Linked DNA regions of Nothobranchius furzeri. The protein of the gene in region 1 interacts with the protein of each later gene in a biochemical or structural test. Links are inferred from orthologs where the notes say so. Each region holds a gene or a part of one and is shown on either strand. Other genes may lie near its edges.

Region 1 (3,857 bases):
CAGGCATGAAAAATGAGTAGAGCATGGACACTCCCTGAGAAAGCATGGTGATCTCCAACTTATGCTCGTTCTGGAAAATATGAAAGGACAATCATTAAACTTTTTCAGAAATCAAAATAAAAAAGAGGCAACATGAAAAACTAAAACATACTTTAAAGTAGTCCAAAAACTGTCGGAGTGTCATTTCTTCCCCGTTAGGCTGCAGCCCTGTGACCTCAAAGCGATCCCAGAGCGTCCAGTCGATCTCGTAGTACTGTTAAAAAAGACACAGGTCATCAGGAGCTGCTTGAAATTTCAACACAAACATTTAGACGTTCATAATTTCTGCAATGAATGAAGAGCAGGCTTGTTAAGTTAATCAGTTTCTCCTCAGCACACACTGATACCATCAGCGTGAGAAGGTGAGTTGCACTCATGTACACCCAGACAGACGTCGTGCACCTGCCTGGTGCATCAGTATTAGCATGGCTGGATCATCACCGGAGTCCTAACTTCCCAACACTTTAAAAGAAAGCACAGCAGGTGCACTCACCTTATGTTTGGGAGCAGCGATGGGCTCAGAGAAGCCGAAGAAAGGCAGAGCCAGGTTCATGAACCCGTTTTTGTATGACTCCAGCTTTTTGTGACCTTGGACAATCTTGATGAGCTCCAAGCACACCAGGCCGACCACCGCGGATGTGGTGGTGGCAATAGCAGGAATGATTTTGCCAGCAATCAGTTTGCTCTGGAAGCAGCAGAAGAGATTAGATTAAGGATAAGAAGATAGTTTATAGGGAGAGTGGAGTTTAAACTGCATCAGCCGCTCCTCACCTTGTGTCTGTCAGCAGGTGGAATGTCGTAGTTCTCTGCCCTCAGGTTAGAGGCTGCTACAATGAAGTCCATGTGGAAATTTGTATCGTCGTCCTGTTAAAACAAACCCATGTTCATAAACTAGAGGTGCTGAAAAAAAATCGATTCAAGTCTGAATTGGGATTCTTATTTATAAAGATTCAGAATCGACCCCAAGAACTCAAATGTTTGGCATGTTACAGGTTTGAGATGCACTTTTGTCTGTTTTTTTTTTTAAATCTTTGTTAGGAGAGTTAGTACTCTGTTTACTTTTGTGGTCCCATAAATTGAGATGATTTCTTTTTGAATCTGCTGATAAGTGGGCACTTGAATGTAATTTTTCCATACTAATTAATTTGAGATATTTTCATATTTATTTTCTAAGTTGATAAGTGAGGGCTCAGGATTACTCATGTATTTATTTGAAGTTATTGATAAATGAGAGAACACATTTTCCTTTGTAAGAAATCTAAGGCACTTTTTTAAAACAGGTTGAGGATTCAAATGTTTCCACACATACTTGAAAAGTATTTGACCGTATTACTTTCAAAGCTACTGTCAGGTAACTAAAGATGTGTTATATTTTACAAGGTAAGCAAAAATAAATGTTGCCTTTTAGTCAAAAGATTGCTTCCGTTTACGGTTTTAGAATCACTTTAGTTTACCTTGTAAATTTGCATTTTTTGAGCATGACCAGTTTAAAGTAAAATAAAAATGTCCATAGCTTTAACTAACTTGTACCACAAAGTATTTAATCCTAGAACTGACACTCTTTGTTAGCATTGATTGTGAATTGGTTTAAATCGAGAATCGATTCTGAATCGAACAGACACCCAGAGAATCTAAATCGAATCAAATCTTGAGTTGCTCTAAGATTCATATCCCTATCATACACACACCGGAGCTGAAGGTAATGGCACTTATTCTGATGAGACATTGGCTCTGTTCACTCAGGGAGCCAATAATTACTGTCAATTGTTTTAATTTCCATTTTGAAAGAATCATAATCCTACAGATTAAGTCCTAATATTTTAATCTAATTAATCTGGTTAAAAACAGAACTCAAGACATCAGTAAAGGCAGGATTTGTTTACATAACTGTGACAGCAAAGGGATGCAAATATTTGTAACGTGCCAATAACAGTCTAAAACAACATTTGCATAACCGCTACAGCACACGTCTGAGTACAGAGCACCTTTAACAATAAACTCATTTAGAAGGAAACTTTATTTTAGACTTATTCTCACTTGTAAACCAAGCATTAAACCACACAATAAACAATCCCACTCTAAGCCCAAAGCAGAGAAACACAACGTACCTTTTCAAAGTCAATGGCATTGAGTTTGAACTGGAAAGCCTCAGGCAAAGGCAACTGGGACTTCAGTTCTTCCAGTTTGGAGTCATCTGTACATCGAGAGATTGATGGTTACGTCACTCCCAGATGAATGGTGTAGAGTCAGTGACTTTAAACTTTTCCACATTGGTCTTACCAACAGAGGAATTACTGTTTTGCAGCTCCTGATCAGACACGTGGATTTTTACGCCCGAGCGAGGAGAAAAAATCGGCACCTTAACATCCTGCAAGATCTTGACCACTCCGGCACGGTCGGTGCTGCCTGGCAGGCCGTACGTCTGAGCAAACAGGTTAGCTCCCGCCACGACGTAATCCATGTGAAGCTCCTAAGACCCAACACCATGAATTCTTGATGTGATACAGATATGCTGCAGAGTTATGTTCATTCCTGAAGATCACTAGAAAACACACTTACGTTGCTAGTGCTGAATTCTAAGGGGTGAGGACATCTCTTTGGGCCAGACCAGAAGGGGGCACCTGAGCTCGTGAGCTGGAAGAGATTATGGCTGTTAAGACACAACATTCTAAAATGTATACAATAAATACTGGTGAAGAATTGAGCTAAAAAGGCAGCTGATGTATTAACAATGGTTTATAACATATTAACTGTAGGTGAAGAGTGGCACAAGGTCCATCAGAGGATGGGGACAATCTGGACTCAAACTTCTAACTCAACTTTTCTCCGGCTACAGAAAAAAGTCTGAAGCTAATCCAGACATGACACCAGTATTTACCTGCTGTGGGGGGAAATTGTGCAGTAACTGACGAATGTTGTTGCTGTATTGGCACTGCCAGTGGTTGCGAGCCCAGGCGACGCAGTCAGCCCAGCTGTGGGGACAGTCTGTGACCAGGGTCTTGTACACGGCCTCCAGCACCTCCACAGGTTGAGCTCCAGGGAGTTTTAGAGTGCGCTCCATAAACTTAGGATCTCTGCAAGGTTTACAAGCATAACAGCGGTCATTTTGCATTTTCTCATGACTGTTTAACCAAAGTCAAATCTTACTAGCAGACCTTTTAGCTAATACTTTTAGATATGCTGCTCTGACCACAAACTCCAAAGACACTCAACATCACACAGTAGCTATAACCCAAAAAGTATGACAGACACTCCACAGAGGAAGTAACTTACGTGAGGTACTGCATAGCATTTTCTGGAGACTGTTTGAAAAGTCCCTCGAACTCATCCCGGGCCCACTGAACAGAGAAGAAACAAAGATCAGCCACCAAGTCCACTCATGTTGGAGTTTGCATCATTGAGCTCCTGCTGACCTGCAGTGTGTGCTCGATGGCATTTGGGAAGTTTTTCAAAGTACAGATGGGGATGGACTTCTCAGGGGGGTCTTGGCTGGAGCTGTAGGACTCTGTGAGGAAGGGGATGACGACCTGGACATTGCCTTTGGTACCCAAAGTGCCTGACTCCAACAGGGGTTTACGGTAGTACACACACCTCCGATCCATGTACATGCCTTAGTGTAAGGAATACAAGCAAAGCAACGGAGGTGTAAACACAAACAAGCAGCTATAAAAAGATGGTTTGTAACAGAAAAAAAGCCAAACTGCATTCCTTCATCAGCGTGCGCATGTTTTAAGCAATTTAAAGTTCATCTTACGTGCATCAACATTGTCTAGTGCATTGGCGACGCCATCGAGGCTCTCAAAGAAGTCATCATCGTA
Region 2 (4,046 bases), on another chromosome or scaffold:
CTCCGCCAAATACCGAAGAACTGGAACAATGTCCGTCTGCTACTAGATTCTTTGCCTGTTTTGCCCGCCTTCATCTCCCGGCAACGGACAACAACTTCTGGGATCAAATGCGCTGCTTCGTGTCTACCGCAGATGTAGAAAATCACCGGGAGAGTTTCTCCCTTCATAAAGGAGCTTCTTTCAGACATTAGGAGAGCTGTTTTTGTGGTAGCAGTCTCTCCTCCATGCTGGTCTGTTTGCTGCTGGGTATTTTTGGTTTATTTAAACTTGGTAACTTGAACTTAATGTTGGTAAAGCTACTGTTAGCATTTTCGCTAACAGCTTCTTGCGATAGGATAAGCTGTTACGATTTGGTTTAGAGTTCATCTTTTTTGTGGCGTAGATCTCCCTTTTATTACATTTAGAGTGTCGTGGGTTTTCGGTTTAGTTTAAAATTTCACCTTGAGTTTGGTTTAACCACCCAGTTTAGAGTTTGGACCTTTGGAGATTCTTATTTTGGTCCAGAACCCAGTAATCTTTGCCCTGCGGGACATCCCTAGTTATTTGTACTTTTGTTTTAATTCCCCACAGGCAGAATTAGTTTTATTATTCCCAACCTGTGGATGGAAAGATTTATGGTTTTTTGTTGTTGTTGTAAATAAACCTGATCATCATTTTAACTTTTAAATCCTGTGTTATTGTCCCTTCCTTTTTGCACACGAGCCAAACTCCCCAGGAAGGGTCGTAACACCACTCGCCTCACGCACATAAGTGACCAAAACAAAGCAGCATGGAGACACCGTCTCCAACCACCCCTCAGGCAGCAGCCTGCACTCCCAAGTCCTACATCACCATTCTTTGACTTGCTCTTTAAAACACTTTTGCAGAATTTCATGCTTTTACTACAAAATGTGCCTTTTCAGTTTCTCAAGTTCATATATTAGGGAAAAAAAGACAACAGCTTGTGTAAGTAACAGTTACAAATTAAATGCTGCAATAAACATACAGCAGGGTTCATTTATGTGAACATATCTGTTAAAGCAAGCACTGTAACATCTGCGGTTTAAAGATATGGAGAGGTATTTGTCAGAGCTGCAAAGTTTTATATTCATTTATACATTCCTACAACAACTTGTGGTTGAAGTTCCTGCAAAACAATGTATTTAACACTAGGGCTGCACAATATTAGGAAAACCTACGATGCACAATTACAGTGATTATTTTTGCGATGATTATATGACTTGCAATACATAAATAGTAACTCAAGAACAAAAAAAATGTATCAAAAACCAAATCATAAAAATAAAATAAAGACTCAGGGGATCCCAGGAAAAGAATAGTCGGCAGAAAGAGCAGAACACAGCTAACTCTGGTGTTTGCTAGCCATCCAAATGAAGTGCTGTCTACCTAGGTGGCGGTATCTAACCTATAAGAACTCACCCAATTGGCCAAACAGGTGAAGGACTATTTGATCAGTCAAAAACGTAATGCTTCAGTTTGACTGACAATATGCTTTATTATGTGTAGAAAAAAATTAAGATGATCCTTTATTGCAGTTTTTTTCTGTTCTTTGCAATATGAGTATTGTGTATGCTGATAGTGTGATGACGATACATTTGCGATGCACAGTGCAGCCCTATTTGCAACACTTTTCCTCTTTTATCTTCAGTACAAATAAAATTCAACTTCAGACATGACATCATTGTGCAACACAAAATGTTGTTTTATAGACATACTTCCAGAAAATAAGGACAAGCTGTTTAGTTTAGCAAACACATAATAACTACAAATATTAAAAATACAACACAAAATGGACAAAAACGAAACTAAATCAAATTAACTCAGTCCACAGCCCAAGTAACCAATCTACATTTGCATCACACACAAAAGCACAGACAGCAAAACACGGTGCTTGAACAGAAATTAAGCCTGTTATTTAACATCTCATGTAAGGAAGCCTATTATATAAATACACACCATGGCCTGTTCCAGTGCCCCATTTGCCATTCCATATATGGCAACACTGACTCTAGGGTTCAGTTTTGGCAACAATCGAGCAGCTGTCATTCAGCGAATTTATACGTCGTCATACATAATTTTACAAGGTAAACTAAAACGATAAATGTGACTGATAAATTAGTGATCAAGAACAAAATCCAGGCAAGGACTACACGTTACAACCGTTAGCAGGAAAGCTAACCTCCCACGAAGTAACAGTAACAACTTCTTACTCCAGAGTCCTTATCAAAGTTTCAGGATTAATATGAAAAATGTCAGACGAGCAGGATGTAATAACCCAAATGAAAGCTTAATTGGGTAGTTACGTTAATGTTAGCCAAGCACAAACCGGGCCACCGTTGGTCAGCTCGCCTTTGTCTTTGAATTATTTTTTAAATGAACAAAACGCTCAACGGCGTAGCTAGTTCACCTCTAAAACACCACACACATGTACTTTATCAAAACGGTTCGAAAAGAGGAAGAAAAATCGAATCTGAATCATGTCTTAAACTTAATAAATATAAACACTCACCTTCTGAATTCTTTTCAACGCCATTGCTTCGGCGGCTATGCTAGGTAGCCTGTCAGCTAACAGTTAGCACCTTAGACATACAATTTGGATTCTGTAGCCGCGTTCTATCAAACCTCACTTCAGTTACAGGTATGAAATTACGTCTAACATCCAGTAAATTTCGGCTTTTTCGCTCTATGACAAATATTTCCCCACGACCTATTAATTTTCGGTTCGTCAGAGAGCTACAAAACAACTTAGATATTTAGCTTTCTATTCCTCTCTCTTCTCGGTGCCGAGAAAACAGTTACTATCGCGAGCTTTCGTTTAAAAACTACAATGGCACTGTCGGTAGTGTCACGATTTCTATTTTAAGGGTCATTTTATTGACTACAGAACAGAGGCTTTAAAAATATACATATTTACTACTCAAGTTTAGATACTAGGGGGTTTAAAGACTTCTGTTGAAGTTGAAGGATCAATTCAAGCATGATACTTGGGTAGAAGTAAAAAGTACAGGTTTCAAAAGTGCTTAGGCTTATCGAAAAAGCGTATAAAAATACTAAGATTGACAAATATGGGATACACTGGGCCCCCAATTCCCTCTTCAGTTCAGTAAAACATTAATGCATTTTAGTGACATGAAAATAGCTACTTACTGCATGTGGGTGATAGATGAATGATTACTTATTTTCTAACCCCAATCAAATTCACTTTATCCAGATGGGCAATTTCGCAATTTTGTCTTTCTGTATTTTGTTTTAACAATGGCAAGCCAAAATTTAGTAGGAGTGATGAGGCTGTTGTTAAAGAGCAAGTCACCCCAAATCAACCTTTTTTTCCCTGATAAACTATATAAATGCGTGTCTAATCATGCTGCAGACACATGCAGTCAATAGTTTTGCACTTTAGTGCAATTTAGTTAAAATTTAAATTTTCTGCCTAAAACTGTCAGTGTTGTGCTGTTGTCGGGTAAAAACTCTGCACTGCATTTGAATTTTAATTAAATTCAGTTCAAAAATACGTTATTAATCCCAGAGGGAAATTGATTGCTGTAGTTGCTCAGAATCTGACACCGCTATTGGCTAAGAGGTACCGTAGGACGTTAGCTGGTACCATATCCAATCCAATCCAATCCAATTTTATTTATAAAGCGCATTCACAAGGCATTACAACCAAACAAGGCGCTGTACACTAAAAATGTTGGTTAATTAAACAGGCGTTATATAAACATGTCGAACACAGATAAAAGATAAAAAGGAAATACAACAAAATTCCCAAAAATAACAGCTAAAAATCAATAAGACACAGGGTGAAGTAAAAATAGGAAAAAACATTTTACAAAGAACCTCAATAATACGGAAGTCGATAATTGTGGAGTCAGTTTATAAACAGTGCAGATGTCAGTGAGGTTCATAATTATGTTGTATAAGCTAGGTTGAAGTAGTGAGTTTTCAGGCGTGATTTAAAAATGCTAGCTGTTGGTGCTAGCCTCACTAGCAGTGGTAATGCGTTCCACAGCTTCGGTGCACAGACAGAGAAAGCCCTCTCTCCACGG

What was found. The genes of interacting proteins can lie anywhere in the genome.
Region 2: of the proteins of uba1 (region 1) and ube2d4, one has a biochemical effect on the other in vitro, tested with the Homo sapiens proteins (4 studies listed by BioGRID). The link is inferred for Nothobranchius furzeri from reciprocal best matches to the Homo sapiens genes UBA1 and UBE2D4.

What each region holds. Positions count from the first base shown.
Region 1 is NC_091755.1:24,209,563-24,213,419, forward strand, and holds part of uba1 (ubiquitin-like modifier-activating enzyme 1), read right to left. Parts: coding exon 3,794-3,857; intron 3,650-3,793; coding exon 3,453-3,649; intron 3,378-3,452; coding exon 3,313-3,377; intron 3,114-3,312; coding exon 2,918-3,113; intron 2,674-2,917; coding exon 2,599-2,673; intron 2,510-2,598; coding exon 2,320-2,509; intron 2,234-2,319; coding exon 2,148-2,233; intron 904-2,147; coding exon 811-903; intron 725-810; coding exon 533-724; intron 486-532; exon of another isoform or gene 365-485; intron 254-364; coding exon 152-253; intron 71-151; coding exon 1-70. UniProt on the Homo sapiens protein: Catalyzes the first step in ubiquitin conjugation to mark cellular proteins for degradation through the ubiquitin-proteasome system.
Region 2 is NC_091757.1:38,230,605-38,234,650, reverse strand, and holds the start of ube2d4 (ubiquitin-conjugating enzyme E2 D4), read right to left. Parts: upstream 2,801-4,046; 5' UTR 2,534-2,800; coding exon 2,510-2,533; intron 1-2,509. UniProt on the Homo sapiens protein: Accepts ubiquitin from the E1 complex and catalyzes its covalent attachment to other proteins. In vitro able to promote polyubiquitination using all 7 ubiquitin Lys residues, but may prefer 'Lys-11' and 'Lys-48'-linked polyubiquitination.